Neurospora crassa OR74A: one gene and its partners. The protein of the gene in region 1 interacts with the protein of each later gene in a pairwise test. Links are inferred from orthologs where the notes say so. Each region holds a gene or a part of one and is shown on either strand. Other genes may lie near its edges. The genes, in order: NCU09437, NCU07058, NCU07393, NCU01022, NCU01367, NCU04485 and NCU03018.

Evidence for each region.
Region 2: the proteins of NCU09437 (region 1) and NCU07058 interact in a two-hybrid assay, tested with the Saccharomyces cerevisiae proteins (2 studies listed by BioGRID). The link is inferred for Neurospora crassa OR74A from reciprocal best matches to the Saccharomyces cerevisiae genes UTP22 and UTP14.
Region 3: the proteins of NCU09437 (region 1) and NCU07393 interact in binary tests that used the Saccharomyces cerevisiae proteins (3 or more experiments, as listed by UniProt). The link is inferred for Neurospora crassa OR74A from reciprocal best matches to the Saccharomyces cerevisiae genes UTP22 and NOP14.
Region 4: the proteins of NCU09437 (region 1) and NCU01022 interact in binary tests that used the Saccharomyces cerevisiae proteins (3 or more experiments, as listed by UniProt). The link is inferred for Neurospora crassa OR74A from reciprocal best matches to the Saccharomyces cerevisiae genes UTP22 and UTP25.
Region 5: the proteins of NCU09437 (region 1) and NCU01367 interact in binary tests that used the Saccharomyces cerevisiae proteins (3 or more experiments, as listed by UniProt). The link is inferred for Neurospora crassa OR74A from reciprocal best matches to the Saccharomyces cerevisiae genes UTP22 and RRP9.
Region 6: the proteins of NCU09437 (region 1) and NCU04485 interact in binary tests that used the Saccharomyces cerevisiae proteins (3 or more experiments, as listed by UniProt). The link is inferred for Neurospora crassa OR74A from reciprocal best matches to the Saccharomyces cerevisiae genes UTP22 and ESF1.
Region 7: the proteins of NCU09437 (region 1) and NCU03018 interact in binary tests that used the Saccharomyces cerevisiae proteins (3 or more experiments, as listed by UniProt). The link is inferred for Neurospora crassa OR74A from reciprocal best matches to the Saccharomyces cerevisiae genes UTP22 and UTP18.

What each region holds. Positions count from the first base shown.
Region 1 is NC_026507.1:182,558-186,743, forward strand, and holds the start of NCU09437 (hypothetical protein), read right to left. Parts: upstream 2,801-4,186; 5' UTR 2,716-2,800; coding exon 1-2,715. UniProt on the Saccharomyces cerevisiae protein: Involved in nucleolar processing of pre-18S ribosomal RNA and ribosome assembly.
Region 2 is NC_026506.1:332,133-336,301, forward strand, and holds the start of NCU07058 (small nucleolar ribonucleoprotein complex subunit Utp14), read right to left. Parts: upstream 2,801-4,169; 5' UTR 2,544-2,800; coding exon 1-2,543. Other genes in the region: NCU07057 (hypothetical protein), read left to right, coding at 3,252-3,440, 3,581-3,703. UniProt on the Saccharomyces cerevisiae protein: Involved in nucleolar processing of pre-18S ribosomal RNA.
Region 3 is NC_026501.1:6,086,297-6,090,495, forward strand, and holds the start of NCU07393 (rRNA maturation protein), read left to right. Parts: upstream 1-1,399; 5' UTR 1,400-1,502; coding exon 1,503-1,802; intron 1,803-1,861; coding exon 1,862-2,308; intron 2,309-2,366; coding exon 2,367-4,199. Other genes in the region: NCU07394 (hypothetical protein), read right to left, coding at 1-247, 301-673. UniProt on the Saccharomyces cerevisiae protein: Involved in nucleolar processing of pre-18S ribosomal RNA. Has a role in the nuclear export of 40S pre-ribosomal subunit to the cytoplasm.
Region 4 is NC_026505.1:2,701,014-2,705,121, forward strand, and holds NCU01022 (DUF1253 domain-containing protein), read left to right. Parts: upstream 1-1,308; 5' UTR 1,309-1,508; coding exon 1,509-1,750; intron 1,751-1,810; coding exon 1,811-2,527; intron 2,528-2,592; coding exon 2,593-3,889; 3' UTR 3,890-4,004; downstream 4,005-4,108. Other genes in the region: NCU01021 (eukaryotic translation initiation factor 3 subunit EifCf), read right to left, coding at 1-330, 566-673. UniProt on the Saccharomyces cerevisiae protein: DEAD-box RNA helicase-like protein required for pre-18S rRNA processing, specifically at sites A0, A1, and A2.
Region 5 is NC_026505.1:3,791,120-3,795,095, reverse strand, and holds NCU01367 (rRNA processing protein RRP9), read left to right. Parts: upstream 1-1,176; 5' UTR 1,177-1,363; coding exon 1,364-3,253; 3' UTR 3,254-3,569; downstream 3,570-3,976. Other genes in the region: pcb-4 (proteasome component C11, variant), read right to left, coding at 64-313, 388-545, 602-603. UniProt on the Saccharomyces cerevisiae protein: Involved in nucleolar processing of pre-18S ribosomal RNA. Required for efficient pre-rRNA cleavage at sites A0, A1 and A2, and biosynthesis of 18S rRNA.
Region 6 is NC_026504.1:3,204,119-3,208,289, forward strand, and holds NCU04485 (pre-rRNA processing protein Esf1), read left to right. Parts: upstream 1-1,371; 5' UTR 1,372-1,439; coding exon 1,440-3,602; 3' UTR 3,603-3,848; downstream 3,849-4,171. Other genes in the region: NCU04484 (hypothetical protein), read right to left, coding at 4,086-4,171. UniProt on the Saccharomyces cerevisiae protein: Involved in the 18S rRNA synthesis. Required for the early cleavages at sites A0, A1 and A2.
Region 7 is NC_026501.1:8,426,014-8,430,243, reverse strand, and holds NCU03018 (small nucleolar ribonucleoprotein complex subunit), read right to left. Parts: upstream 2,801-4,230; 5' UTR 2,515-2,800; coding exon 643-2,514; 3' UTR 465-642; downstream 1-464. Other genes in the region: NCU03017 (hypothetical protein), read left to right, coding at 26-415; NCU03019 (hypothetical protein), read right to left, coding at 3,059-3,370, 3,434-3,717, 3,795-3,948. UniProt on the Saccharomyces cerevisiae protein: Involved in nucleolar processing of pre-18S ribosomal RNA and ribosome assembly.

The DNA of each region.
Region 1 (4,186 bases):
GTTCATGAGCGGATCGATCTTGCGCCAGGCTTCGAGACGGGTGGCGATGGCGGAGCGTTCGGACGATGGCATGTCGCTGTTGGTGTCGACGATGAGCGGCTCGGAGCGCCAGTCCCATCTGCTGACGAAGAGGAGGGCGCGGAGAAGGCCGACGGAAGGGGAGGAGGGTGCGTCCCAGGGGTAGGGGCTCAAGAAAGTCTGGAGGGCGACGAGTTCAATGAAGTCGGGGGTGAAGTGGGAGGCGAGTTTGTGTGAGGAGAACCAGTGTTTGAGCAGGCGGACGGTGGGCGAGAAGGCGGGGAAGCGGGTGGCGAAGGTGTTGATGGATTGAGTGTGCAGAGGGAGGTGGTAGTAGAGTCTGCGGAAGTTGGAGAGGAGCACGGAGGCTTGGTGGCGGTGGTGTTGGTCGATGGTCTTGTCGTGCGATTGGCGCGTGAGGAGGGCCTCTTCGAGGTCAGAGTGGATGCGCAGGCGGAAGGCAGGACCGGACTCGTAGACGATGTCGAGGTAGGCGAGGTTCTCGAGTTCCGTGTTGGTGGTGGTAGAGGACTCGAGACCGACGTAAGAGCGGACCTCGCCGGGCTTGGAACGCTCCAGGAGGTCGCCGATCATGCGCAGGAAGGCGATCTTGGTGCGTTGGATGGCCACGATGGATTCGGGCCACTTGCCGGAGGCTTCAAAGGAGATGACGCATTCCAGGGGGCGTGGGCCGGATTTGTTGACGGTCGAGAAGGGCACCTTGACGGAGGCGTGTCGCAGTTCGGGGCAGATGGGGGCTATTTGCCTGACGTGCAGCGGCATGTCGTCCAAGTCGCGGATATCCTTCTCGAAGGAGGAAAAGGCCTTGCGAGCGGCGTTGAAGACGGAGGTGTCGGTCGGCTTGATAGGAATCAACTCGGTGAAGCCATCGCCGTGGAAGGTGAGCTCGTCCTCGAGGTAGCCAACGCGAAGATGGAGCTTGAGGATGTAGCGCATAATTTCCTCGCAGAGGTCAAAGGGGGAGGTGGACGACCAGATCAAGGTCTCCCTGATAGAATCACCCTCGAACCGACGAAGTTCCGATTTCTCACCCCAGAACCGCTGGAACTTGGCGCATTCCTCCTTCTCCTCGTTGCTAGGTCCAGCGGCCGGACCGCGGTCGACAGAGCGGGTCATGTTGGCGGCATTGAAGAGGACACCAATCTCGATTGTGTGGTTCTGCTTGGTGGAGGGTTTCTTGGTGAGATCCCAGGATGAGCTCTTGGGTAGTTGAATGTGAATCGACCGAGCCCTTTCACCTAGTTCTTCGTCCTGAAGAGCCCGCTTGAGAACCCTGTGCACCTTGTCGCTGTATTCCCATAGCCGTCCCCGGCAGTCAATCGGTTCTGTCTTGTCCTGCTTTCCATCGTAGTTGAGGTGGGCAATGAGGTCGTAGTTTTGCCAGGGGAGGTCGGCCTTGAGGATGAAGGTAGGGGTAAACTGGTCGGCAGTGCTGTCGTTGAGAAGGCTCCTTGTCCACTTGGCGTGTTGGTGTAGCTTGGCCGCAGACCAGTTGCTCATCTTGAAGGCAACGTTCAAACCACGAACAGCGTCGAAGAGAACCGGACCAGTGGTTTCGGACTCGACGGTGGCAGTTCCCAAAACACACGGCTTCTCGGACAGGTTAGTAACAGACAAGAACTGGACCATGGCCTTGAACAACTGGGTGGCGCTCAGGGATGTAGACAAGGGCGCATGTCCCTTGGTGCTGTCGCCGCTTTGGAGCAGAAGGGCCAAAAGTACCGCCCATTCAAAGTGACCAAAACCACCGTCCGCCATATCGCTTCCCAGTCCTCGTTGTTGCAACCACACCCGACCCAGGATGCAAGCCTTCTTGAACGCGGCGCATTTCTTTTCGGTTTGTCGCAAGAGCTTCAAGTAGGGAAAGAAGCAGGACTCGGAAACAATCGTCGAGTTGTAGAAGGGCGTAGGCTTGGTCGCGGCCTTGGACTCGTCACCGCCAGCTTTGCGCACGAGGGTAGCGCCCAAGTGAAGCTTTGATTTGGGGAAGAAGTTGTCTGGGGCGCAAGGGATGATGCGCACTCTGTAGTCCAGCTGGCCCTCCTTTTTTTCTCCTTCCACCTTTGGTTTCAACGACAAAATGGGGGACAGGGTGTTCCCATTCAGGTATTCGTATGAAAGCTCTCCATCATCAGCCAGGTCCTTTTGTAGGGCAGCAGCCACAACACCGAGGAAGTAGGCTCTCTTGTAAAAGTATCGCAGGTCGAGGTAGTCCTTCTCTTGCAGAGTCTCGCCGGGGATCACAACCACCATATCCACAGCATGGCTCTTTTGGGCCTTGATCATGGTCTTGGACACATAGCTGCCGACAACGTTGAACTGGGAAGGCTTTGCGAAGGCGACCTTGTAGTTGGACTTGTCGGACGGGCGCGGCTCGGGGAACGGGATCGGGATCTTGTGTTTCTTTTCGAGTTTGGTGGCAGCCTCGGCGATCTGGAGGGCATCGTGGGCTTCGATGGCTTCGATGGAGCCCTTGATCTTGTGGAGGAGGGAGTCGACGCCTTCGAGGGCCGTGGCATAGTCGAGCTTCACTTCGTCGACGAGTTCTTCGGCTTCGAGGATGAATGCGCGGCCACGCGAGAGACCCGAGGAGGCAGCGGCGTCGATGTTGCCAACTGCGCTTTCACCGCCGCGTGAATGGCCAATCTTGCGTCGTTTTGCTGATCCGGGTTCCATTGTATGTGTGGCGGTGGTATAGGTATATGATGGTGATGGTGGAGGAGGATGTCCTGGGAATGGAGACAGGAAATTGATAGTGACAAGACACTGAGAGAGAGAGCACTGAAAGCCAAACAACAGTGGACCGAGCGTCGTCCCTCCAATTGAAGTTCTGCAAATTCGAGTCTCGTTCAAGTTTGCGACGGGAATTCCCAAATTTTTTGAGACTCTGGAGCTCCGATAAGAGATAAGAGGTCAATCCACAAACAGGGGCAGTGGAAGACCCGACAGGGGCAGTCGGGTGGGGCAATGTTGGTTGGTTGCCCCTGTGGGGTTCAACTGACAGACAGTGAGCGCCCGGCCCTTATCTCAGAATCAGACCCTCTTTTTTAGGCATGGGCGGCCTGCGGCCGCTGGGAAAGTGCGCTGCGCGCACATCTGGCCCGTGCGCTGCGCGCCCGGGGTTCTCAAAAAAAATAATAAATTGAAAGTTACTAAAGTTTCTAAATTGTGATCCGTGTACCCATTCTTTTAGTATACTTTCCGGTATTGAATAAGAACGCCTAAAAAAGAGGTTTGAATTCCCAATTAGACTAGAAGCGGATAGGGGAATTTATATTGATAAACTTCTAAGAAAGATAATATAGCGTTAAAATAAAACAATAGATTTAGGTTATACAAAAGATATGAGGAGAAAGAGTTCGTTGAGACGGATTTAATGGTATTATTAATTTTTTTCTACGACTATTGAAAGTATTAATTATTATAGAAAATGTAAAAACTTTACGTAAGTCCGTATATTCAATGCCTAGTTAGCTATATATTACAGTACGGCTTTTTATCCCAATACTATAAAACTTTGTAGGTATAGATATTATACGACTATTAATATAGTAGTATAGTTTTCTTTACTCTATAGTACGTTATTTTTTTTCCTTAATTTTTTCTATCCTCTATAGGTATTAATACTATAGATCCTAATTTCGATCCCTCCGTTGACCCCTAGCGTATATTGCGGGTAATAAAAGATATTATTAGTAATAGTAAAGACCCTCGAAAAGGCTAGGTTAAGGCGGTAGTACGGTTGGCGTACGAATAGAAGGATATAATATTAGTCGCAGTAATGGGCTACGGAAAAAGTATTGTCCTATATATATTTTTAGCTTTATATAATAAAATTACAATATAGATTATACTGTTAATTAAGTTTGGAGAAAGTTAATATAATAATATTATTACTAAAGTGCTAGATTTAAAGCTAGTATAGGTAAATAAAGATGTGACTTTAAAAGTAAGTATTCTGCCCTTTTTTACGAATCTTAAGTACCTTTATTAATTTATATATAGAACTGGGATATTTGGGACTAAATTTAATGCGGCGATTATACTTATATTCTATTGAGCCCGGAACTTACGATAAGTACGAAATTTAAGGCTGTATTGCGGTCCCTAGAATTCTATAAACGGATTAGTCTTTTCGCTATCGATA
Region 2 (4,169 bases), on another chromosome or scaffold:
ATCACCCCCTTGAGCTTGAAATCCTTCCTCTTCTCCTTCTTGACGCCCTCCACCTTGGTGACGAACCGGCCTGTGTGCCTCTTCTTCTCGCGGTTGGAGATGCCCTCGCCTACCCAGCCGCCCCAGCCAGGAAGCGTGTTGTCGATCTCCTTGTCGTCGTCTTCCTTCTCCACTTCGGCCTTTTCGCGGTTAAAGTCGCCTACGACGTCCTCGCCTGCAAAGGCACGCTTGATGAGTTCTTGATCGCGGATGGCGAGGGGGAGATGGATCGTTTCTTCGTCGTCGGAAGAGGAGTCGTCGTGGGTGGTGGTGGCGGGAGCAGAGGACTTCTTGTCCTTGGCTGCTGCGGCGTCCTTGGACTTGGGCTTGGGCTTGGAGGCGAGCATGGCGGCGTTGGAGAGGTCCAACTCGCCGACGGAGACCTTGGCGGCCTTTTTGGTGCTCTTGCGACCTTCTTGGGGAGCCTTGGACCAGGCACCGGCGACGGAGGCGGCGAGGGAAGTGTCCTCGACTTGGGTGGTGGCTGCTTGTTGTGGTGTTACTTGGAGATTGGACATGTCGTTTGTGATGTTCTTCTTCTCCTTCTTCTTCTGAGCAGCCTGCTGGCCGGGGAGTATGATCTCCGTCTTGCCCATACCGAACTGCCTCCGACCGATGTCCGTCTCTTCGACATCGTCAGAGTCGTAGTCGGAATCGAGGTCTCGGCGAATCTGCGCAATCATCTCATCGTTCTCCTTCCTCTTCTGGGCTTCGCCGCGTTGCATGAACTTCATCTGCATCAGCCCCGACTCGACCTCGCCATCCGCGTAGGAAGCAGCGTGCTCGAGCTGTTCCAGCAACCGTTTCTTGTTCTTCTTCTCATCGCCAGACTCGGCAGAGTAATCGTCGGAACCACTGTCTTCAGAATCCTCCTCGCCCTTTCTGCGTCCCTCGATCCGGCGGCGCAGCTCCTCCTTCTGGCGAGCAGCCTCTGTCAACCCAGCGCGGAAGTTGTCGTCCCACACTGCGCGACCGGCCTTCTTGCCGAGCTTGGCCCACTTGCTGTCCCGGTGACGAGTACCGACGCGCTCGAGGGCTCGCCTCCTGTCCAGAGCCTCGCGCTCCTCTTCTGAATCAATCTCTCCCGCCTCAACCATGGCATCATGCATCTCCTGCTCGTCGTGGAGCAGCTCCTTGCGATGAATGCGACGGTACGCCTTGGACTTGATCTTCTTGATGCGCTTCTGGCGGGCCTGCTCGCGCGAGAACAGCTCACGCTCGCGGCGCTTCTGACGGGTGATTTCTTGCATCTCAGCGGCCGAGAGACCCTTGCGAGCGGCAATCTCCTCGACGTTATCCTGGTCCTCCTTCTTGGGCTTGTTAGTGGGTCCCAAGCCGGATTCCTCCATGATGGCCAAGATGGTCTGTTCGAGCTCGGTACCCGCCGTGGCCTTGGTCACGGGAAGGAGTTCTTGACTGTCGAGGCCGGCGTCGTGGGCATTTTGCGCGAGGGGGAAAACCAGGTGATCCGCACGGCGGTTGTGCTTGACTGTGTCGATCCAGCGCTCGAGCGTCTCGGAGGTCTTTTCGTAGGCGGCGGAGCGGAGGAGCTTGTCTTGTTGCCTCTTTGCGAGGGGGATGTCGAGCTTCTTGGATTGCCCAGGCTTGGCGGCCTTTTCCTCCTTGTTCATGAGCTTGAGAGACTTCTTCATGTGGGGGTCCTGGACGCCAAGGAGGCCGAGATCTGAGAGACTGAGTTTGTTTGTTGGTTTCGAGCCTGATTGCTCCTCGTCGTCGTTGTCGTCGCCCGCAAACCCGGAGATCATCTTTTGGAGGTCGTCGAGCTTGGAAGGGTCTTCCATATCGTCGTCACTGTCTTCGCTTTCGCTCGATTCGCTGTCCGCGTCGTCTTCCGATCCTGACTCCTCTTCGCCCTCCTCCTCCTCGCTGCTTTCATACTGATCCAGTGCTGTGGCGAGATCGATGGCGTCGGAACCGAGCGACTCCAAGTCATCGTCCTCATCTTCGTCCTCTTCCTCCTCATCACTGTCGTTTCCACCCTTCTTCGCCTTCTTGCCCTTCTTGTTGGAGCTGCTCCCGCTGAAGGCATAGCCATCGAACTTTTCCTCGTCGCTCTCACCAAAGGCCTCATCAGAGTCGAGTTCGGAATCTTCGTCATCAGCGCCTACACCAACGTGCCACTCCTCGCCATCGCTGTCCTCGCCACCGTCGGAGAAGCCTTCGAAATCGTCGCTGTTTTTGGCCTTCTTCTTTTGTGGCCTGGCGTCCTCGAGATCTTCCTCATCCTCGTCTCCGTCCTCATCGTCTTCGTCGTCGCCATCTCGTTGTCTCTTCTGGGGGCGCTCTTCGGGCTCGTCGAGGTCTCGTGTGCGGACGCCCTTGGCTTTCTTTTGGGGGACTTGTTCGGCGGCAATAGCGAAGGCGTCGAGGACGTTGTTTCTGGATTTCCTATCGGCAGTCTTGTTGTTGACTCTGTGCTTGGGACGCCCTCCGCCGCCCGACTTGGGCATTAGAGGCCTGCCGTGGGCTTGACGGCCGGGCATTTTGCTGGTATTTGAGAATTGACTGATTGGAAGTCGGAAGGTAATTCAGTCAATTAAGTTCGAGGTCGAGCAAGCAAAAATTGGGTGATGAGATTGTCGACGAAGTCCAGTGGTTGGATGGAATGAATCGATGGATGTCAATGTCCAACTTTTGCCTGCACGGGTCCTGGAGGTCGAAGTGGTCAGGTCCCTTCAACGGCAACTCCCACCAAGCCTTCAACTTTCTGCCAGTGAACAAGCTCCCCCGAAACTTTTTCTGCCGCCTCTGTAATCGATAATTTTCGGGCGGTGAGGGCGCAACACCCACCCATTTTGCGGGGCCGCAGCAGGCTACAGGGGTACCTGTTTCTCCCAGCCTCACGTCATTGGCTCAATTGAGCTCCAAACTTCTGAAATGGCTCCACCTCAACCCGGCGCGGCCCCGGACGTCTTTGCGATTTCTCGATTCCAACCCCGTCGCCCGTCGCCCGTTGCCCGTCGCCGTCCGTGTTGTCCAGCGCCAGTCCGAGTCCGAGTCCGAGTCCCGTCTCCGTTCCTGTCGCGTGCGCCGGATCTTCAACACTCTAAAGCGGATCCCGTCTCCGTCCCACTTGCGCCCACCTCAACCACCCTCACCACAGCGAGGTGCTTCCACCACCCAGATCACCGACCACAAAAAGCAATTCTCCGTCGTCGTTGCCCCGCAAAGCGCAATCCTCCTAGCCCACCATGCAGCCCACTCGCATCCTCCAAGGTCTCAAGTACCGCAAGTTGCGCCTGACCACCAAGGACGTCAACAAGGGTTTCTACAAGGGTAACCGCACCGGTTCCATGGGTACGCACACCAGCTACGGTACCTACAAGATCGACTACACCAAGGTCCGCACCTATGTGTGCCCGGACCTGACCGGTTTCAAGGTGGGTGGTCCTCTATTTCCGTCCGGGTTTGGGGTTGGAATGGGATGTGTTGGGGGATCTGGTGCTAGGGGAGGGACCGAGAATGGAGGACAAAAGAGAATAAAAAAGAATTATGCTAACAAGATCCAACAACAACAAAGCTCACCCCCTTCGTCTCCAAGACCATCCGCCCCGTCCACGACCAGTTCCCCGGCGACAAGCTCGGCCCCAAGAACCCCGCCACTTACCTTGCTCGCTGGAAGTCGGAGAACGGTCTCGACTAAACGGTCGTCATTTTTTCAAGGAGGGAGGAGGAGGACATTACGATACCAGACCACGGCGAGGAAATGGAGCGAGGCTCACTCAACTATCAAACTACCAAACGCAATATATACCCAAGTTCTGATTACATTCCGAAAGCCTGCCGACACAGACCCGTTCGAAGGACCACGAGCCACTCTCCACTGTACATTATATGACCTGACCACCAGGAATCAACCACCTAGCAGCTCCACTGTTCTGGGTCATATGTGAAATTGGAACATGTCCAGGTTCTCTGCCTTTGGAGTCGCCACGCTGCTACCTAGGCTGATGGTCTCGACATTCCTACCATTGAGATACAGCCTGATAGCTAACCATACGTATTCAAAGAACACTCGCCTTCAGAGCTGCCTACGATACATCTCCCCTTTCGGATTGGTTCTTTGAATTTTGATGTCACGATGATCTCGCCGTCACATTTCTTTTCTT
Region 3 (4,199 bases), on another chromosome or scaffold:
TCAGTCCTGCCCCAATTTTGCCTGGATAGCCAACGCTCAACGAACTTGGAGCGGATCAGCATCTCTGGCCCGTAATGATCGACCAGCTGCTCAAGAAAGATGAAGCACATTTTTTCGGTGATATCCCTCAATGGATAATCGTCCCATCCATCATTCTCGAGAACCTCCTGCTCCGGGTCGAGGGAGAGCTCGAGGCACCGGACTATGGCGGAGTATGCTTTCCAAGTGTGAAGCATGGGGAGAACTCCTTGAAGCCGTGTTAGTGAGTTGGAAACTTTCAAGCAGTGTTGAGATACTCACGAGGGACGCAGATGACAGCCAGAGCCCTCAAGTTCTTGACACGCTCGTCATAATCTGGACGGGTGATGCCCCAGAGCAACGTCTCCAGGAGGCCGGGGTCATTTGCAGCCCTATCACAGATTATCTTGGCAGCCGTCTCCTTGATGGCGTAGTTGTAGTGGCCCAGCAAGGTGTCCAGCGTCTTGAGCTCGAGCGAGTCCTCGGTCTGCTGCGTGATGTACTGCGTCTTTGGCGGATTGGGGGTGACAATGGTCTCGTCTCGCCATCTTGTTAGCCAGGTGTTCATGGCGAAGATGATCAAGCTCGCCGTGACGAAGCCAATGCCGGTGAAGACGACCCTCTCATCTCGGAGAACCGACGATTGCCAGCCCATAATAACGGTATGGTGATGAAAGATGATGCTTCAGCATAGGTAGTTTGACTTTTATGTGTTGTTTTCTTTTTCTTTTCATCACATCGCGACTTTGAGATTGAGACGGAACACTGAAAAAAACCAAAAATAAAAAAATAAAAAAACCATGAGCAGCCCGAGGATGACGATGGAGAGCTTCACTTCTGGTCAGTGGAGTGACACCCGCTGTAGAGCGGGACAGTCTATCCAGGTCCCAAATTTCCCACCCTAAGCATTTAGTCAAGCATGTATCCCAAGACCTTTGTACTTAACAATACATTCAACTTTTTGGATCCTCCACCAAGAAAATTGGGAATTCTTTTATCTTTGCAAGTCAAATACTGCTGGGAAACTCCTTTTCGCAACTCAGCTGGCCCAAAAGGGGGCTTTTTGGGTGAAATGCTGCATCCTGGGTTGCAGAGCACATTTGGTCGAGTGACATGTCTTGAGAACAAAAGAAGTCTGTGCACTTCCTTAAAAGGGTAAGTTTTTGGGACCTGGATAGCATCGCCCGTAGAGCTTCGTCTTTTAGCAGCTACAGTGCAGCACGGGCAGGCCAGGATGCTTCTGCTGCCCGCGCCTGTGGACAATACTACTTGTATGTAGGTAGGTAACTGCCAAGATTTTAGAGGTGGAGCATGACGATAAGATAAGCACCCTTCATCACCAAAATTTCTGAGAAGGAACCAACCGCCAAAGACAACCTATTGATTGCTGGTCTTGCGATCGAACCCGCTTCGCGACGCCCTCCCTCCCTCTTTCTTTCTCAATACTCCCCTGTCAAGTCGACAGTCGAGACATCTCAACAAACATGGCCGGGTCTCAGCTCAAGAGGCTGAAGGCCTCCCTCAAGGACCAAGGCATCATCGGTCCCCAGAGATCCAAGAAGCAAAAGCGCCAAAACGCCCAGGACGCGAAGGCTTCCACCGACAAGCGACTCCAGCGCCACGAAGCTCTCGCCAGCATCAGAGAGCAGTTCAACCCCTTCCAGTTCAAGACCAACGCCAGAGGACCCAAGTTCGAGGTCACCACCAACAAGCCCCAAAATGATAAACTCGCCAAGGGCATTCAGGGCCGCCCCGGCGTTGCGAAGGCCACCGCTGAGCAGAGGGTTTGTCGATCCCACTCAGATCGATTTACTGGTTCTGATGCTAACTGTGCCATAAACAGCGACGGGAAACTCTACTGGTTGAAATGCAGAGGCGCAACAAGGTCGGCGGCATTGTCGATAGGCGTTTTGGCGAGGACGACCCCAACATGACCCTGGAGGACAAGATGATGGAACGTTTCGCGCGCGAGCAGATGAAGAGCCACAAGAAGAACACCGTCTTCGATTTGGAGGGTTCCGATGACGAGCAAGAACAGGTCACCCTTACACACGCTGGCAAGACTCTCTTTGACGACGACGACATTGAGGCGGGTCGTGACGATTTTGACGAGGACGTTTCCGATATGGAATCCGACGATGAGCGGTCAGCCAGAAAGAAGTTCCTCAAGCGCCTGCGCGCTGAGGAAGAGGCCGCGGAAGGTGAAGGAGAGGATGGACAACCGGAGAGGAAGAAGACGAAGAAGGAAGTTATGGAGGAGGTTATCGCCAAGTCAAAGGCCTTCAAATACGTAAGGGGCACCGCTAAGCCGGCTACTTCCACTCATCAGCTAACAGTAATTGCTACAGGAACGACAAGCAGCCAAGGAGGAGGACGACGATCTAAGAGTGGAACTTGACAAGGAACTCCCAGAATTGCAGTCCCTACTCTTCCAGATGAGACCGAAGGAAACGAAGGACCCCAAGGGCCCCTCCGTTATGGCAGGAATCGACATGGACCAACTTGAGAAGGAATACAACATGCGTCTCAAGCAGGCAGCGCGTGAAGCCAGGGCCGAGGTTACCGACAGGACAAAGACCGACGAGGAGAAGGCGGAGGAAGGAGTTAAGCGTCTCAAAGAGATGGAGGAAAAGCGACTCAGGCGCATGCGGGGTGAGATCGTCTCGGATGACGAGGAGGAGGAGGAGGAGGAGCAGAAGAAGGGCAGGAAGAAGGGAGACGACCAAGAGGTACAAGACGAGGCCGACGAGGACGAATTCGGCCTCGGCAAGGGTATCAAGCTACGAATGACCGCCACCGAGATGGGTCTGGACGACGAAGACGATTTCTTGCTCGAAGACGACCTTATCGCAAGCGGCTCTGAGTTGGATATGGACGAGGACGACATGTCGGACATGGACGGGAGTGATGACGAGGATGCCTATGATCCTGATGAGGACGAGCTTGTGAATGGTGGTGAGGACGGCGAGTCGAAGGAGGTGGCCACAAAACTTCAAGCTCAGTCAAAAGGCGGCGACGAGGACGGCATACCCTATACCTTTACATGTCCCGAGAGTCACGAGCAGCTGCTGGAGATCTTGGGCAGCCTTCCCGTGGCCAAACTTCCAGTGGCTGTCCAGAGGATCAGAGCTCTTTACCACCCCAAGCTGGACGCGAAGAACAAGGAGCGCCTTGGAAACTTCTCCCGGGCCCTCATCGAGCATATCGCTTACCTTGGCGACAACTTCGAGCCCACCTGGTTCCCTACCATTGAGAACTTGATCCGCCACGTCCACTCACTCGCGAAGACCTTCCCGATCGAGATATCCAAGGCTTACAGGTCACGGCTTGAGGAGATTAAGGAGGATCGGCCCCTTGCCCTTAGCGTCGGCGACCTTATGCTTCTGACAGCGATTGGCACAACCTACCCTACTTCTGATCACTTCCATCAGGTGGTCACCCCTGCGATGCTTTCCATCACCCGTTATTTGGGACAGAAAATTCCCCAGACACTCGCCGACTACTCCATTGGTGCTTACCTTTCGATCCTCGCCCTTCAGTACCAATCCTTCTCCAAGCGTTACGTACCAGAATTTGTCAACTTCTGCCTCAACACTCTCTGCTCGCTCGCTGCTGAGAAGCCCAAGGAAAAGCTTGGTCTGTTCCCCGTTCACGAGCCCGCTGCTGGCATCCGTGTCAAGGGTGCAAGCAAGGTGACCGTCAGGAAGCTCAACTGCGGTGACTGCCAGCAGCCCAAGAGCGCTCGCTCCACCAGCGACGACTCCGCTCTGAAGGTTGCCATTATCAGCACCATCACCTCCGTTCTCAGGACTGCTTCCGAAACATGGTGCAAACTCCCCGCATTCTACGAGACCTTCCAGCCCGCCCAGCGCGTGCTCCAACACCTGACAACCAAGTCCAACGCCGCCCAGCTCCCTGCAGCCCTCGTCAAGCAGCTTAAGGACGCAACGACAAGCATCTCCCGCCTCCTCCAGCTCGCCCAGGTTTCCCGCAGGCCACTCGAGCTGCACCACCACAAGCCGCTCGCCATTAAGACGTACGTGCCCAAGTTTGAGGATTCGTTTGACCCCAACAAGCACTACGACCCAGACCGCGAGCGCGCCGAGCTGGCCAAGCTGCGGGCCGAACACAAGAAGGAGCGCAAGGGCGCACTCAGGGAGCTCCGCAAGGACGCGGCCTTC
Region 4 (4,108 bases), on another chromosome or scaffold:
GGCCGGGTGGGGGAAGGTGCCGGTCTCGGGGGAGGCGAAGAAGTTCTGGATCAGGGCGCTGAAGCTGTTGAGCTCGTGCGAGGTGGTGTACCAACCCAGCAGGGTCTCGCGGGGGTTGGCCTTGAGCGTCAGGGCCAACATGTTCTTCTGGTACTCGACGTCCACCTCAACCTGGTCCTCGTTCTCGGTGTGGGGGATGGCGAAGGTGGAGCGGACTTCGACCTCGCTGCCGTCCTCGCTGCGGACACCCACGAGGGCACCAATCACCCGTGTCGACTGGGTGTCGCGGTCGTCACGTCTGACGGCATGGTCGATGATGGAGAAGACAGCCTATTTGGTGAGGAAAGCGAAGGGCTACATGTCAGCTAGGTGTTGTATGGTCTTGGGCAATGGTAGTGGTGGTAGTGGCGGTGGTGACGGCGGGGTAGCAGAGAGGATATAGGTAGGTAGGTAGGTAGGTAAGCTTGACATGCGCAAAGGGGGACATCAAGGTAGGGGACTAGGTAGATAGGAGTGGAGGGGCAGATATAGGACTGTAGTATGGAAATTGGTGCTGTTGACGTACCTGAGGCTGGATGTTGACGGTAAGCGGGGCATTGCTGACACCGAAGCCAAGCACATTGGGCGCAAGGGGGCGCGAGAGATGGACGAAAGACTCCTGATCGACAGCCATTTTGACGACGGGCTGGGCTGTAGTTGAGTGAGAGATGGTGGAGGGGTGGTGTGGTGGTTGATAGAGGAAGCAGGACGGGAGTTCGAGGAGGAGGGGAGGAGCCGTCGAGGTTGAGATTATGGGGCTCTTTGAAAATGTAGACAGCAGACGCTGTTTTCGGGTTCGGGGTGAGAGAGAGGCTAGCGGTTGGCCGGGGGGTGGGGTGGGCTTGCGCTGGTGAAGAGTGGGCACGGGCTGGGCACTGGCAGAAAGAGAAGTCACTTTTTACGGTTGTACACTACACTTTTTTTCACTGCCGAGAATGGGTGTCAAATGTCAATGGCACTCCAGTGTGAGGGTAGGTCTCGGTGGCAGCCCGGCCATCGAGTTGGGTCCGTCACTGTTCACAGGCAGTCACTAACTTCCATTCTCTCGCCCTAGACCGGGAGGTACTCCATCCAGCTTTCGCAAAATATGGGGACCAGTAGGCGGTACCTCTGCTCGAATTTTTGGTTTTGCAGCGCAATGCGGGACCTTTGGGTGTTGTGCGCGCTAAGATAAGATAAGCCGGTCTCCACACTTCCATGTTCAGCTTGGCGGACTTGAGATTGTTCTTTCTTCAGTTCGCAAGGGTCAAGGGGGAGGGGTGGCGTTACAAGGCTGCTCTTTGCCAAGCCCTTCCTTCAAGATTCCATTGGACTTTTGGACTTTTTCTTCTTGGCTCGTTGACAAGGCTGAATACAATTTCCGTATCGTTTTTTTCACCTTTGTTGAATCTGATTTCACACATCAATCACCAATTGTCATATCACCAACCTCACATCTCATAATTTGAGAAAACTCTTACCGCATCAAAATGGCAATTCGAGGTCGCGGTGGTGACCGTGGAGGAGGAGGAAGAGGAGGAGGAGGTCGTGGAAGAGGTGGTGCAGGAGGTTTCAGAGGCAGAGGAGGATCCAGGGGAGGGGGCTCCAGAGGAGGCGCCAGAGGAGCTTCGAGAGGGCGCGGCAGGGGAAGTTCGAGGGGTGGTGCCAGAGGAGGTTTCGGCCCTCGCTCATCCAAGTTCAACGACGCCCGACTTGCCGACAAGGACGAAGAGTAAGAAAATTTCAACACTCAAGGGCAGAAAAGAACTGGAAAGCATACTGACTGAAACAGGGAAGATGAGGAAGAGGACATCTCTGAAGAGGAATCCAATGTTTCTGAGGATGAGATTGAGGAATCAGAAGAGGAGGATGAGGAGGAGGATGCCCAGTCTGGTCAGCCATACATGAGTCTTCTGAAGAGCTTCCAGAGTGCAACCAAGACGAAAAAGAGGAAGTTGGATCACCCGGAGGAGGAAGGTCCGAACAAAGTTACCAAGACGAAAGACGACGATAACAGCGACGACGAAGACAATGAGAAGGTGACGGAGGACGTGGATGCAGTTGACGAGCCAGAGGAAGATCCCCAGGATGCACCATTAGAGGACCTGTTCGACGAAGATGACGACCTCGACGACTCAGACCCCTTCGAAACTCACTTTACTGCCCCAGACGAGGCGACATTTCAGGCTAGGATAAAGGCTATTCAGGCGAACAAGTGGAGGACCGACAGGATAGCAAAAAACTCCAACAGGATATACTACAACACCCCAGAGACAGGCGACTCAGCTGAGCAGAAACTTCCCCATTCCATTTCTGGAGTTGGCGATCTTAAGCTCAAGCAACGATTAGCCGAATCGATGGCTAAGCACACCGAGTTCGACGAAGCTGAGAAGGCAGTAGCACCTCTTCTCTTCAACTATCAAGACATGCTTTACTGCAACCGGTCAGTGGCATCGTCTGAGAGCATAAGGCGGATGGCGTGTCTGCATGCGCTCAACCATGTTTTCAAGTAAGTCTGATGGGAACACGAAAAAAAAAAGAGTAAACAGAGAGCTGACTTTGATACCTACTCAGGACTCGTGACCGTGTAATCAAGAACAACACCAAGTTGCAAAGAGACGACACCCTTGAGCTTAGAGACCAGGGCTTTACCCGCCCCAAGGTCTTGATGATTCTCCCTACCCGCCAGTCATGCGTCAAAATGGTCGAAATGATCTGCAAGGTCGCCGCTCCTGAGCAACAAGAAAACCGCAAGCGTTTCGACGATGGCTATGTCGACAAGTCCACCAAGTTCTCTGACGACAAACCCGAAGACTTCCGCGACCTCTTCGCCGGCAACGACGACGACATGTTCCGCCTCGGTATGAAGTTCACTCGCAAGACCATCAAGTACTTCTCGCAGTTCTACAACTCGGACATCATCTTTGCCTCCCCTCTCGGTCTGCGCATGGCCATCGGTTCCGAGGAAGAGAAGAAGAAGCTCGACTACGACTTCCTCTCGTCCATCGAGCTCGTCATTGTCGACCAGGCCGACGCCCTGCTCATGCAGAACTGGGAGCACGTCGAGTTCATCTTTGAGCACCTCAACCTCCAGCCCCGCGACGCCCACGGCTGCGACTTCTCCCGCGTGCGCTCCTGGTACCTCGACGACCAAGCCAAGTACTTCCGGCAGACGGTGATTTTCAGCGCCTTCAACACGCCCGAGCTGGCCGAGTTGCAGCGTCTTTACTGCCACAACTGGGCAGGCAAAGCCCGGCTGCAAGCCGAATACCCAGGCGTGATCCAGTACCTGGGCGTCAAGACGCGCCAGACCTTTAGCCGGTTCGATGCGGCCTCCATTGCTGCCGACCCGGACGCCCGCTTCGCCTACTTCACCAAGGCCATCGTGCCGACGCTGGTCAAGCGGGCCGCCAAGGACGCGGCGGGAACGCTCATCTTCATCCCCTCGTACCTCGACTTTGTGCGGGTGCGCAACTACTTTGCCAATAACCCGGCCGTCGAGAGCGTCACGTTCGGCAACATCTCCGAGTACGCCGACACACCCGAAGCGTCGCGCGCGCGCTCGCATTTCCTGACGGGCCGCCACCGCGTGCTGCTGTACACGGAGCGCGCCCACCACTTTAGGCGGTACGCCATCAAGGGCGTCAAGCGCGTCATCTTTTATGGCTTGCCGGATAACCCCATCTTCTACAGGGAGATTGCGGGCGGGTACCTGCAGAAGAGCGAGCAGGCGCTGATGCTAGAGCACGGGCAGGGGCACGTCAAGGTCATGTTCAGCAAGTATGATATTATGAAGCTGGAGAGGATCGTGGGGACCAAGAGGGCGGGCAAGATGATTACGGAGCAGGGCGATACTTTTGATTTTGTGTAAAAAGGTCCAGTCAGTCGTATGGTATGTATGTATAAAGGCGTCGGATAATCAAAACTGCCAAGGGGATTGGGTTTACATAATGGATTGAAAAAGTTGGTTGCATAGTTGTTAAAATAGAATACCTACTACTGCTGTACGTACCTAGTGAGCAATAAGACAACATCCTGAAAGTCACCAGTCTATGGAACGGGGCATATGGTTTGCCAGTCTCCCAAGTCC
Region 5 (3,976 bases), on another chromosome or scaffold:
TGATTCTGTACATGACTCCTACGCATCAAAGACGGTACAGAGATATCGGTCGAGATCACATACTGTGCGTAGCCGTGGGCGGCATAGGGGACCTTCGCCAACGACGCAAGGTAGTCGAGCCAGTAGAGGCTGGGCTTGTGGGTGATAGGGTCGACACCTCCGAGAAGGAGGTTTACGTTGTAGGGTTTGCGGGAGCGCAAGCTCGTCGCAAGCTCGCCGCGGACAAAGTTGGCAAGGGCAGAAGGGGAAAGGTCGGTCCCGTTGCGCATGGAGTAGAGCTGGGCGTTGGCTTGGGTGTACTCGGCGAACTGCACTGTCGATGGGAACAAACAGTTGGTTAACTTGGTTTGGTTCAAAAGCGCCATCATCACGATATCGCTGCCGTACCTGTGTCGCCAGCTTCACCGGAGAATGCCATCAGTGTGTGCTTGTTCAGCGACCTTGTCTTGTCGTCGGATGCCTTCAGGATGGTCGCTCCCCGCATAGCGGCCTTGGACGCCGCAATGATGGTAAAGTCCTTGCCCGTGATGCCTAGTAAAACCTCCCTACATGCTGATCAGCTCTGATATCACCTCTCCAAGACATGACCGATGCGACGTACATTTTGGCTGATTGTTATGTGAGTGAATGGATGATATGCTGTTGTTTTGGTAAGCTTTGGCAAGTTGCGTTGGCTTGCACGGTTCTCGTCGTTACCTACCTATGGCGGGACAGGGCAGTTGGAGCTTGAACTGACGGCGACGGGGAACGCGCACTGGAGCTTCAGCCTGCAAGCTGACAAGACAAGCACGGGCCAGGCTGTTCAGGTGCCCGCTATCGTCTTCCATCTTTCCATTCCAGTCCCCAGAAGGGCTGAAAGCTGCAACCACTGGGCAGGCAAGCAGACAGCGAGAGAGACAGCCCCACTCCGTCATGAAACCTGCCAGGATGGCCCGGGGACGTCTTTTGGAGACAGCAAGAGCCTCCCCACCAGCCGACTACTAACAGCTCGCTAGCTCGGTTCCGCGTGACAGAGCCCCTATATCTGTTAGTGACGCAATAAGGTAGAGTGCACGGCACGGGGATTCCCTTCTCCGACTCGTTCAATTGTGCCAAGCCAGTGGAGGAGATCTTGACGAATCGGCGTGCTACTCCACCGATAGAAAGCCTGCAGGGTGGGCAACTTTTTTTTTTCTTCGAAGTCCATCGGGTCGGGTGTGTCTAGGCGCGAACGGCCATCCCAAAAATTTCAACTTTGATAGCCATGCAGCAGCGTTGAAGTGAAGCCGAACGCGACCCCAATTCACATTCCAGTGTCATTCTCTACCACCAGACGACTCCAGTGCATTTGCACCGACCGCCCCGGGCCGCAATTGCCAACACCATGTCGTCCTTTTTCACAGCACCCGCTGGGGAAAAGAAGAGGAAGCGTGCCTCTGCCAACGAAGCCCCCCAGAAGCGAGTTGCGACTGGCAAATCGACTGCCAAGTCATCGTCGGTCAGAGGCCCTGCCGCCAAATCACGTCCCGCAGCCCCCAAGAAAGCCGTTGAGCGCGACGAGTCGATATCCGGCAGCGACATTGACAGTGACGATGGCGACCACATTGAGAGAGAGGACGGGTCGGAAGGAGAAGAGGAGTCGGACCACGAAGGAGAGACGGCGGCTGAGAAGCGGTTAAGATTGGCACAGCGATATCTGGACAAGGCACGACAAGAGGTGGAACTGGAGGACGAGTATGCCTTTGACGCCGAGCAGATTGACCGTGATTTGCTGGCCGAGCGTCTTCAGGAGGATGTGGCCGAGGCCAAGGGCAAGGTTTACCGCCAGTTGGCTTCCAAGCTCGACTTTGACAAGGCCGCACACACACAGTTTCGATGGAATTCAGGAACGGTAACATCAGTCTCGGTTTGCGCGCCGTACGCTTACACCACCACGAAAGACGGCTACCTTACCAAGTGGAAGCTACAAGACCTACCCAAGAACCAGTGGCCACAGACGACCAAGAAGAAGCCAAAGAAGCCGCCTGCGCCGCCCAAGAAGAAACCCGAGAGAGTGTGCTTCAACAGGGCGAACCCGATCAAGGCAAAGGACAAGACATACCAGGGACACACCAACGCGGCCATCCTGACGGTCAGGGCCTCTGCCGACGGCAAGTTTGTTGTCACCGGCGGCGCCGACAAGCGAATGGTCGTCCATGACGCCGAGACCCTCAAGCCCCTCCGGGCCTTCACCCAGCACCGCGACGCCGTTACCTCGCTCGCCTTCCGCCGCGGCACTAACCAAATATTTTCTGCCTCCAAGGACCGGACAGTAAAAGTCTGGTCGCTCGACGAGCTCGCCTACGTTGAAACACTCTTCGGCCACCAGGATGAGATCCCCGACATCGACGCTCTGGCCGGCGAGCGCTGCGTGTCCGTTGGCGCGCGCGACCGGACCGCCCGCTACTGGAAGGTTCCCGAGGAGTCGCAGCTCGTGTTCCGCGGCGGCGTGTCGGAGAAGAAATCCCATAAGAACCGGGACCAGGCGGTGAACCACGATGGCACCATGGACCAGGTGGCCATGATCGACGACGAGCTCTTTGTGACTGGCGACTCGGCCGGCACGCTCTCGCTGTGGGGCATCAACCGCAAGAAGGCGCTGTTCACGCAGCCGTGTGCGCACGGCATCGACCCGCCGCTCAAGCCGACCGAGGTGTCTGCCGACGCGAATCCGGACGAGAGCGTGGTGCCCACCCCGCAGCCCCGCGCCATCACCGCCCTCCGCACCATCCCGTACTCGGACGTCATTCTCTCGGGCTCCTGGGACGGCTTCGTGCGCGTGTGGCGCCTGAGCGAGGACAAGAAGAAGATTTTGCCTGTTGGCGTGCTCGGTTCCAGCACGGCGCTGCAGCAGCTTGACCAGGCCGAGGCCCAGAAGCAGAAGGAGGAAGCAAAGCAGAAGGCAAAGGCGGAGAAGGAACCTGCAACCGCAAGCAGTGGGGAGGAGCAAGCGGACGACGAGGCCTCGGTGGATGGGTCGCAAGACAAGAAGAAGAAGCAAGAGAGCGGGCTGATTAGGGGTATCATCAATGACATTGCCATCTTCGAGCGCGGCAACCGCGGTCGCGACGGCATCTGCATCGTGGTCGCCACAGGCAAGGAGATGAGGCTGGGAAGGTGGAAGTACATGAAGGAAGGAAGAAACGGCGCTACTATCTTCGAGGTGCCCAAGGTTGCTAGGCGAGCGGGGGCTAAGGGGGAGGAGAGCGATGAGGAGGAAGAAGAGGAGGAATAGAGGAAGAAGATGGGAACCATACGTACGTTTGTTCTGTCTTGTTTTGTCTACCTCGTTTGACGGAGCGGGACATGGGAGAAACGCGGAGAATGAGGAAGAAGAGAGCCAAATAATCATCGCCTGTTGAAATTTGTTACAAAGTGCTCTGGACGTTATATCGCATTCGCGACAGCCAAGCTGTTCATAGACAAAGGAGAAGGAGAAAGTAGAAAGAGCAAGTATTGTACATACCACACTATATCTTTTAGGTAGCCTCACTGCATTTGAAGGGAGTTGAAAAGTTTCTGGTCATGAATCCATTCCACTAGATTTCCGATTAAGTTGTGCCACACAGAGCCATTAAAATACTATGGAATCTCTCACCAATATATCATCAAAGGGATGGTAAACTTCTTGTAATGTGCTCTCCGTGGAAAAAAATATCAACAGAGGATTGGTAGTTTGTTAGATCACGCTGCGCTACTTCTTCCTCCAGCACAAGGTTGAGGCTCCATCATCTAGCTCGAGACTGAGATGGCCACCCGACTCAAAGGTACTCCTCGAGGCCTAGCTGGACGTCAATACCGCCAAATATTCCGCCTGCATGATAAGATGTACAAGACTTGGGGAGTTCGAGAGTTTCAACTCCAAAACAATCAAGCAACGAGCTTCAAAAAAGACAACGCAGCCATGCTATACCAGCCATCGAGGCCTCAAGACCATGCAATGCAAATGGGCAGATGC
Region 6 (4,171 bases), on another chromosome or scaffold:
CCGGGAATGTGGTTGACAGAGGTCTCGAATGTCGTTGATGGCTTCGAGTCAATGTCGCGTCCCAAACAGCTGGGCAGGATGAAGAATACAAACACCCAAATCCGGACTCTGTGGTTCACTCTGTTGATGAAGAAAGGCGTGCTCGGTGTCTCACGTGATGCAGGCATTGTTGATGCTTCTCGCTTGTGAAAATGCCAAGAACATCATCGACATCTGATTTAGGGTTTTCCGGGGTTGTGTTGGCAAGGCATGCGGAGTCGATGACACCCGGAGAGGCATTCCGGAGCTCAGTCCTAGGGACATTCGCCTCGACTCCCGCCTTGGTAACCCCACCTGACCATCACCAAGGATCTCTTTCCTGGTTGAGCGCAAACAAAGAACAGCTTGGACTTGGTCCGGAAGTTGTGTAATGATGATTGCCCCTGAAGTGAGGAACGAATAGTGGTGGGCCATTGATTCTCGGATGGGGACCAAAGAACAATTATAAGTCTTGTTCGGACGCCCTTCATCTTTTGGACTCGCCATCCAACCCTCATTAACCATCCGGTTCATATCTCAGGATCCCACGTCCCAGACACATCCTTAACAACCCATCCGATAACGCGGCACTGTCGACCAGGTTCTTCCAACTTATACAAACCATGAATCTGGAGAGCTACTCACGACTCATTTCCTCCGACCAAGACGAAGACGTCAAGGCAGAGAATAGGGCTTGCACAACGCTATTGTCGCTCTTGATGCTTGTTGGGATCCTTACGTTGGGCGCAACGATGTGGCATGGGAACAGTTAAAGAACTGAAACCTGCGTAACATCTTCGGTAGGTAGTCAATCCGCGAACACTGTCAATTCATGCGATATCAGTCGTCCTAACGAGTGGAAGGTCCAGATTCGATGACCAGCGACAGCGACAGCGGACAGGACTGGATGGCCGATCGGTGGGTGGGTGACGTCGAATGGGAGTTCTCTGGTCATAAGTTGAAGGACGGCCGATGAGGCATGCGATGACAGGATTATACGTTGGATTCCGAATGACGGACAAGTTGATACCCGAATTTGTTGGATTGGATGGTCGAGGACAATCATCGACGGGATTGCTGGAGGACGATGGCGTTTTTGGAGTTTTTCGAGGTTGAACAGCCCTGCGCTGACAGCGTCAGTGGACTTTGGCTTTTGACGGAGTTTTTAGCGGGCTCCATTTGCTGCATGCCAGGGCACCAATGCGGGGAAGTGGATTGATCCATAGCACAGGACTTGGCGTTTTAGGTGGGGCACCTTGACATTAGCATGTGCAGACCGCCTTTGGCAGAATCAACAACGCTCCACTAAAATTTTCTCGGACTTTGCGTGCTGTGCACATGTCGGGTCGAATCTGCGAGTTTCCTTGCTGCCGTCGAATCCTCGATTTTGGATCGCATCAGTCACCATCTCCACATCCACCATGCCCAAAGATAACAAGCCTAAAAAGCGCGATGGCGCTCCTGCGATTACCGATGCTCGCTTTGCCAACTTCGAGACCGACCCGCGATTCCAGCTGCCCTCAAAAAAGAACCTAAAGACCAAGCTCGACAAGCGTTTCTCCAAGGTTCTCAAAGATGCAGAGTTCACCGCCGTCGCAAAGGTCGACAGGTACGGCCGCAAGCTAAAGACCGACACCAAGAAGAAGGCTTTGGAACGGCTGTACGAGGATGAGAGCGAGGACGCCACAGACAACGAGGCCAAAGAGAAGGCCAGCAAGGGAAAGAAGGACGAAGCGGAAGACGAGAGCGACTTCGAGGTCGAGGACGACGACATTGTTCAGCGCGAACTCGAGGCTGCCAACTCATACGACCCTGCCCGTGGCGGCGGTTTTTCTTCATCCGATGACGACTCCGACTCCGACTCCTCAGATTCCGAAGACGAAAAGCCAGAGGTGGAAGACGAGGCTGATGCGGAAACACGACCCGGTATCCGCTTGCGCAAGGATAAGGAGGCTGTTGAGGAAGGCGAGATCACAAACAGAGTTGCCATCGTCAACATTGACTGGGACCATATCAAGTCGATCGATCTATTCGCCCTCTTCTCGAGCTTCGTGCCCCCAGGTGGTCGCATCGAGAAGGTATCTGTCTACCCTAGCGAGTTCGGCAAGCAGAGGATGCAAAGAGAAGAGCTGGAGGGTCCTCCCCAGGAGATCTTCAAGAAGAAGAGTGACTCCGATTCCGACAGTGACTCGGAGGACTCTGATTCGGACGAGGCCATCAAGAAGGAGCTTCTTGAGGAAGGAGACGACCAGGACTTTGACAGTGACGCCCTTCGCACTTATCAGCTCGACAGGTTACGTTACTACTACGCCGTTATGGTTTGCTCCGACAAGAACACAGCATACAAGATCTACGAGGCGACGGATGGCAACGAGTATCTTTCTTCTTCCAACTTCCTCGACTTGCGATTTGTCCCCGACGATGTCACGTTCGACGACGAACCCAGAGACGAGTGCGACAGCGTCCCTGCGGGGTACAAGCCGGTGGAGTTCGTGACCGATGCTCTCCAGCATTCCAAGGTCAAACTCACCTGGGATACGAACCCCGAAGATTACTCAAGAAAAGAAGCTCTCAAGAAGGCCTTCACCGGTAGCCGCAACGATATCGCCGAGAACGACTTGCGCGCTTACCTTGCGAGCGACAGCTCAGACGACGAGGAGGACGAGGAGGAGAAGGAGCAGTTCGAGGCCGAGGGGGCCGCTGCCGAGGAAGCAGAAGAGGAAAAGACACTGTCCAAGAAGGAGCTTGCCAGGCGCAAGATGCGCGCTGCTCTTGGTCTTGCTGACGAGCCCGTGGTAAAGTCCAAGAAGGATACTCCGGTGGGCGAGATGCAAATCACCTTCACGCCAGCACTATCCGCCAACGACAAGAAGAAGGGTGACGAAGATAGGGAGGAGACGACCATCGAGAAGTACAAGCGCAAGGAGCGCGAGAGAAAGGAGAGGAAGCGGCAGGAGATGCTTGCTAGGAGGGAAGGTCGCGATCCCAACGCCGCTCCTCAGCAGGAGGAAGAGCAAGGCGACCAAGGCGAAGATCTCGGTTTCGACGATCCATTCTTCACTGCTGAGCCTGTGGTGCCTTCCAAGACGGCGATTCGCAAAGAGGAGAGGCTCAAGAAGAAGGCTGAGAGGGAAGCTGAGGAGGCTGCCAACGCCGCCGAGAAGGCACAGCTGGAGCTGCTTATGGCTGATGAAAACGGTGACAGTGGCCGTCTCGATCACTTCGACATGAAGCAGATCGCCAAGGTCGAGAAGGTCAAGGGCAAGAAGAAGGGCAAGAAGGGCAAGAAGGGCGTGGAGGGCAACGATGGTCTCCAGGAAGAGTTCGCCATGGACGTCGAGGATCCTCGTTTCAAGGCCGTTTTCGAGAGCCACGAGTTCGCTATTGATCCCTCTAATCCTAAGTTCACGGCTACTCAGGGTATGAAGAAGCTTCTTGAGGAGGGCAGAAAGAAGCGCAAGGATGGACCCAGTGTTACGGAGAAGAGTGAGAAGAGCGCCAAGAAGGTCAAGACTGACGACGCGGATATCGATGGTCTGATCAACTCTGTCAAGAGGAAGGCGAAGGCGAAGGCGAAGAAATGATTGCATCACGGGTAACAGCATATTAATGGCAAGTTTTTGATTTCTGTTGGTTCACATCCATCTGTCGTTCCTCCACTGTCCAGTCTTGTAAATGGTCCTTGGGTCAATGTGGTTTAAATTCAGGTCATGTAGGGTTGCTCCCTTTGTCTTTAATGATCGTCCCCTTTTGTGGATGAGGACAGAACCACGTACAGCTACCTCGCAACTCTTTTCCACTTCACAATGGCGGCCATAATATGTGGTACTCGAGGTCCATCAGTTCCTCATGGCCATGTAAGTTGGAGCTTTTGTTGTCGAGATGTTTGCCTTTACCTTTCTTAATCTCTCTCCCCGAGGAAATAACTCTGTGTGTCTGGCAAAACCCCTGGAAAGACACTGGGCCTCCGACATTCTTCCCTCGACAATTGTGTTCGTCTTATCCATAGCTACCTCTTTTCATCGTCCTTCGAGGTTTGCAAGCGATTCTCAACCTCCGGCCAGTCGTCAAGGTTCCTCCGTCAGATCCACAACCGGAACCTCTTCCCCTCCCATCTCCACCGGCAGCCACTCCTCCACATCATCCCTCGTTC
Region 7 (4,230 bases), on another chromosome or scaffold:
CTTCTTTGGTCCCTTCTCGCTCTAGGCCACACTACCGGGGAACCGGCCATTACTGATACCCATTTCTTTTCGCCCTCACCAGGCCATTAAAGCCGTACACGTCAACATCTATGATGTCCTTGAAACCGATAGAATCATTCAGGCCGGGGGGGAGTCAAGGCCGCAGCGATTCACAACACCTCAGGCGCTCTCAAAGTATTCAATAGGGCATCGCAAGATTTACCCCAGGAATAAGGTCATCGAAGATCAGCCGGAGCACGCGATGCTCAAGCACATTTTCGATCCGGATTTGGAGGAAAAGTTGCAGAGTAAAAGAGAGGAAAGGCTGGGGAAGAAGAAGGAGGCGAAGTTGAAGGGAAAGGAGAAGTCGCAAAGGGAGAAGGAGGTAAAGCAAACGGAAACTGGAAGCACCTGAGGATTGAGGGGATACTGATGCCTCTGAAGACGTGGTTTGATGCATGTCATGCGTACAAGGAGAAGCATGGGAATACATATCGTTGCCATAGGGCTGACACTTGCTGAAACCTTTTAGACGAGCTGGACAGAATTTCATGGCCCAAAACCTTCAAACCCTTAGATTACCACTAGTTTATACTCCGCACTATTTTATCGCCAACTCAACGCACTACACAATGCGCAGATCTAGCTCCTAATCTCCCACATCCTAATCTTGCCCACATCATTGCCCACCGCCAACACATCACCACCATTCTGGTGGCTAAACGCCACAGCAGTGATCCTACCCAAAGGCGTTTGCTCCGTAGGCCAGTTCCTGTAAACGGTGCAGCTAGGCAAGTGCACCAGCCTTAACGCGTCCTTCTTGTGGAAGCTACCAAACGCCAATAGCTGACCGTCCGGCGCGAACGTCACCACTGAGATGGGCGTCGTGAGCTGCTCAAACGTCCTCTGCGGGGTGGGGATGCTCTTAATCTGCACTGTCTCCTCCTTGGACGCCGACGCACCACCCTCCTTCTTAACAGGCTCAACCAAATCATTCCGATCGTAAATGTTCATAATGCCGCTATTCGAGCCCACAGCCACCCAGCGATCGCCACCAATCTGGCTAGGGCCGGTGCCCTTCTGCCCGCCCAGCGCAATCACCGTGCCGCCGATCGATCCTTCGTCGCGCCAAACGCCGACCGTGCGCCGGCTGAGCATGCTCCACTCAGTGACCTGGCCGTTCTTGCCGAGGATGGAGAGGCCGTTGCCGTTGCCCCACCAGGCGAAATCGGAGATGCCGCCGCGGCCATTGGTGCGCGCCTGCGCAATCCACTGCATCGTGCGCACGTTGACGATGTTGATCATGCCGCCGCCCTTCTTCTCGGAGGCGATGAGCCCCAGGTAGCGTCCGCAGGGCGAGGGACGGAAGTGCTCCATGGTACGCTGCTCGCGCTGGTGGCCCTGGATCTGGGTGATCTTCTTGACGGCACCCGACGAGAGGTTCCAGCTGTGGAAGTAGCGCCGGCGACCGGCGAAGATGACGTCGTCGCCATCGGGACCGAGGAACTCGGAGCGCCGAAGGTCGGTGCGCTTGACTTGCACCGACGTGAGGGCCGGGTTCGGAACCGGGTGCGCGGTCGGGTCAACTTGGTGTAGGTACATGATGGAGGAGACGCTGCACGAGAGCAGGATGGGGTGCTTGGGGTGGAAGGACAACGAGCTGACGGACTGCTTGTGAATGTCGGGGATGTCGCGCGAGCGCTGAATGTCGATGGTCTCGGGGCGCAGCTTGCGGCGCTTGCTGCCACGGGCATCGGCGCTGGCGTTGAAAGAGTTGACGTCGCGGAGGAAGGTCTCGAGAGGGAGGGCGGATTCGATGTCGTCTTCGGCGTCACTGTCTTCCTCGGAGGAGGAACCGGCGGCTGAAGATCTTCTCCTCCGGCGCTGGCTGGCGGCCGAGGATTCCTTGGCCCACTCCGGAAGGGGGTATAGTCGGAGGTACTGCGAGCGCAGGCGGCGCGCGTACTCGGTGCCGTTCACGACATCCTCCTCTTCGGACTGACGCAGCTTGCGCAACCGCGAGGCAGCCGCAAGGGATACTGTCAACCGCTCGTCATCGCTGTCCTCCCACGCTGGGGGGTCCTCCTTCTGCTCGTAAGCCTCTAGCGCAGAGGGCGCGGCCTCTGTCTGCTTCTTATTACCGGGAACGCCAGTATCGAACGCGAAGAGGGCGTTATCGTCGACATGTTCGAGGCCAGTCGTGTCATCTTGCTTGTCGGTCCTAATGAGAGCCTTGGAATCGGTAATATCGGCGAGGAAATCGTCGCGGAAAAGCTGGGCGCGGAAGGTGTCGTTATTGCCCAAGACGAATCGTTCGAGGTCTTCTTCGTCAGAGTCCTTCTCTTCAATATCGTACTTTTTCCTCGGGTCGGCAATTGAATCCATATCGGAGTCGTCCTCGTCGTCGTCGTCTACTGACATGCCATCATTGTCGTGCATCTCCTCATCGCTCTCCTCGTCGAATCCGACGAATTCGTTGTCGTCGGAAACTTCGTCTTTCGTCTGTGGCGCCATTTTGTTCTGATTTAGGAGATTGCGCAAAGCCCAGTAACGGGAACTTTTGCTGTGAGATCCGGTCCTGGTTAAATGGAGTTGAAATGGACGGAAATGCCACGACCAGTCGCTAGTGTTTGGTTTGTTTTGAGGTTGGGAACTTTTTTTTTCGTTATCAGCCTTGCAGATCGCAGATCCTGTCCCACTTAATCTGGACCCACTTGCTATCACAAGCACGCCAGCCTTGTTCAAGGAATAAGTTTGAAGTACCCCTACAAAAAAAAAAGTAAAAAAATAAACATATATTAAACTTATCTGATGCCTCAATGCTACTTTCATTAACAATATCTTTGTGATGAAGATGACTTTATGTGAACTCATTCGAAGACAATAAATCTGACCAGACACGAACTAGTACTAAAATTATGAGCCACGCAGAGCAAATATATGATTTCAAAAAGAACATATGCATGAAGAGTACGTGGTGTTTTGGTATCCTTGCAGATGATTCTATGTCATCTCACAGCCACCTTTTTGATTATTGGACGACAAGCAAGTCTAGAGCCTAGCTTAACAACAGAGCACAGCTAATGCCCACCACACACAACAAGTTAAGTGCATGCTTGCAGCTCGCCAGCCCAGCACCACTACCAACATTCGACGTCTCAATAACCGTCGAATCACCAGGAGCAAAGAGGGCGCCGAGTTCGTTAGTGTCTGTCCAATCGATGTCCTCGGGCGCCAGTAACGGGTTATCAAGTGATTGGCAAGACGGGCGGTCGTCGCTTTTGCTGATGCTGTTGGTCACAGAGACGGGAAGATCAAATATCGTGTAGTGGTTCTCGCCATTGAGTCTGAAGCGTTGGTGGATGGAGATCTTTTGAATTGTCAGTGAAATGGCTATCAACACACTCTTAAGCTGACTATTTGGAAAACCCACATTGTAACTGCCACGATCGTTCCCATTCGTACCATCGCCAACCATGCAGTCGGGCCATGTCCACCGGACATGCTTCACGGTGCTACCAGGCTCGGAGAGCATGATATCACCGAGTGTGGCATTGTTGGCCGACGCAGTACCGTTGGTGATGGTCAAGTTTCGGCCCGTTACGTAGCTGTAAAGGAAGATGTTGATGTTGTAGATTTGGCTGGAAGCGTCGTCGCCGTAGGGCGGTAGAGGAAGCTTGCCATTGGCAGAAACATCGAGCGCAATCTCGACATTGTCTACACAAGTTGAAGCTTATTAGTAGCAAGTCCTCAAGTCCTTTGCCGACAGCCAGCCGGGTACTAATAGTACTAACCTCCGCCAAGAGGCGTGTCCGGCTGGGGGGAATCGACGATAACAAAACCAGGGGTGAAAATCTGGCCATTGCTAACGGTAAAGTTGCTCGCAAGACCCTTAGTCGCAAAAAGTGCCGCAGCTGCAAACACAGCGAGAGACAATGATTGTGTCATTCTCAGCAATGTGATTCAACGATCTCGGCGGGTCAAGTCCTTGGAATGCGAAGGGAGCTAAAAGAAAAATGCACTTGTCAAGGAGTAGACCGGACAGCAACTGGGCGTATCCTGGATAAGACAGACAGCTAACTAACCTAACGTATGGATGAAAAGATCTTCAGATTGACGTTTTCGAAAAGGAGAGAAGATAAGAGATGGGAAAGGGAAGCACAAGTATGTAATAAGGAAATCAGAAAGCTTCCAAGATACTGCCGTGAGATTGAAATTGCACCGTGACAT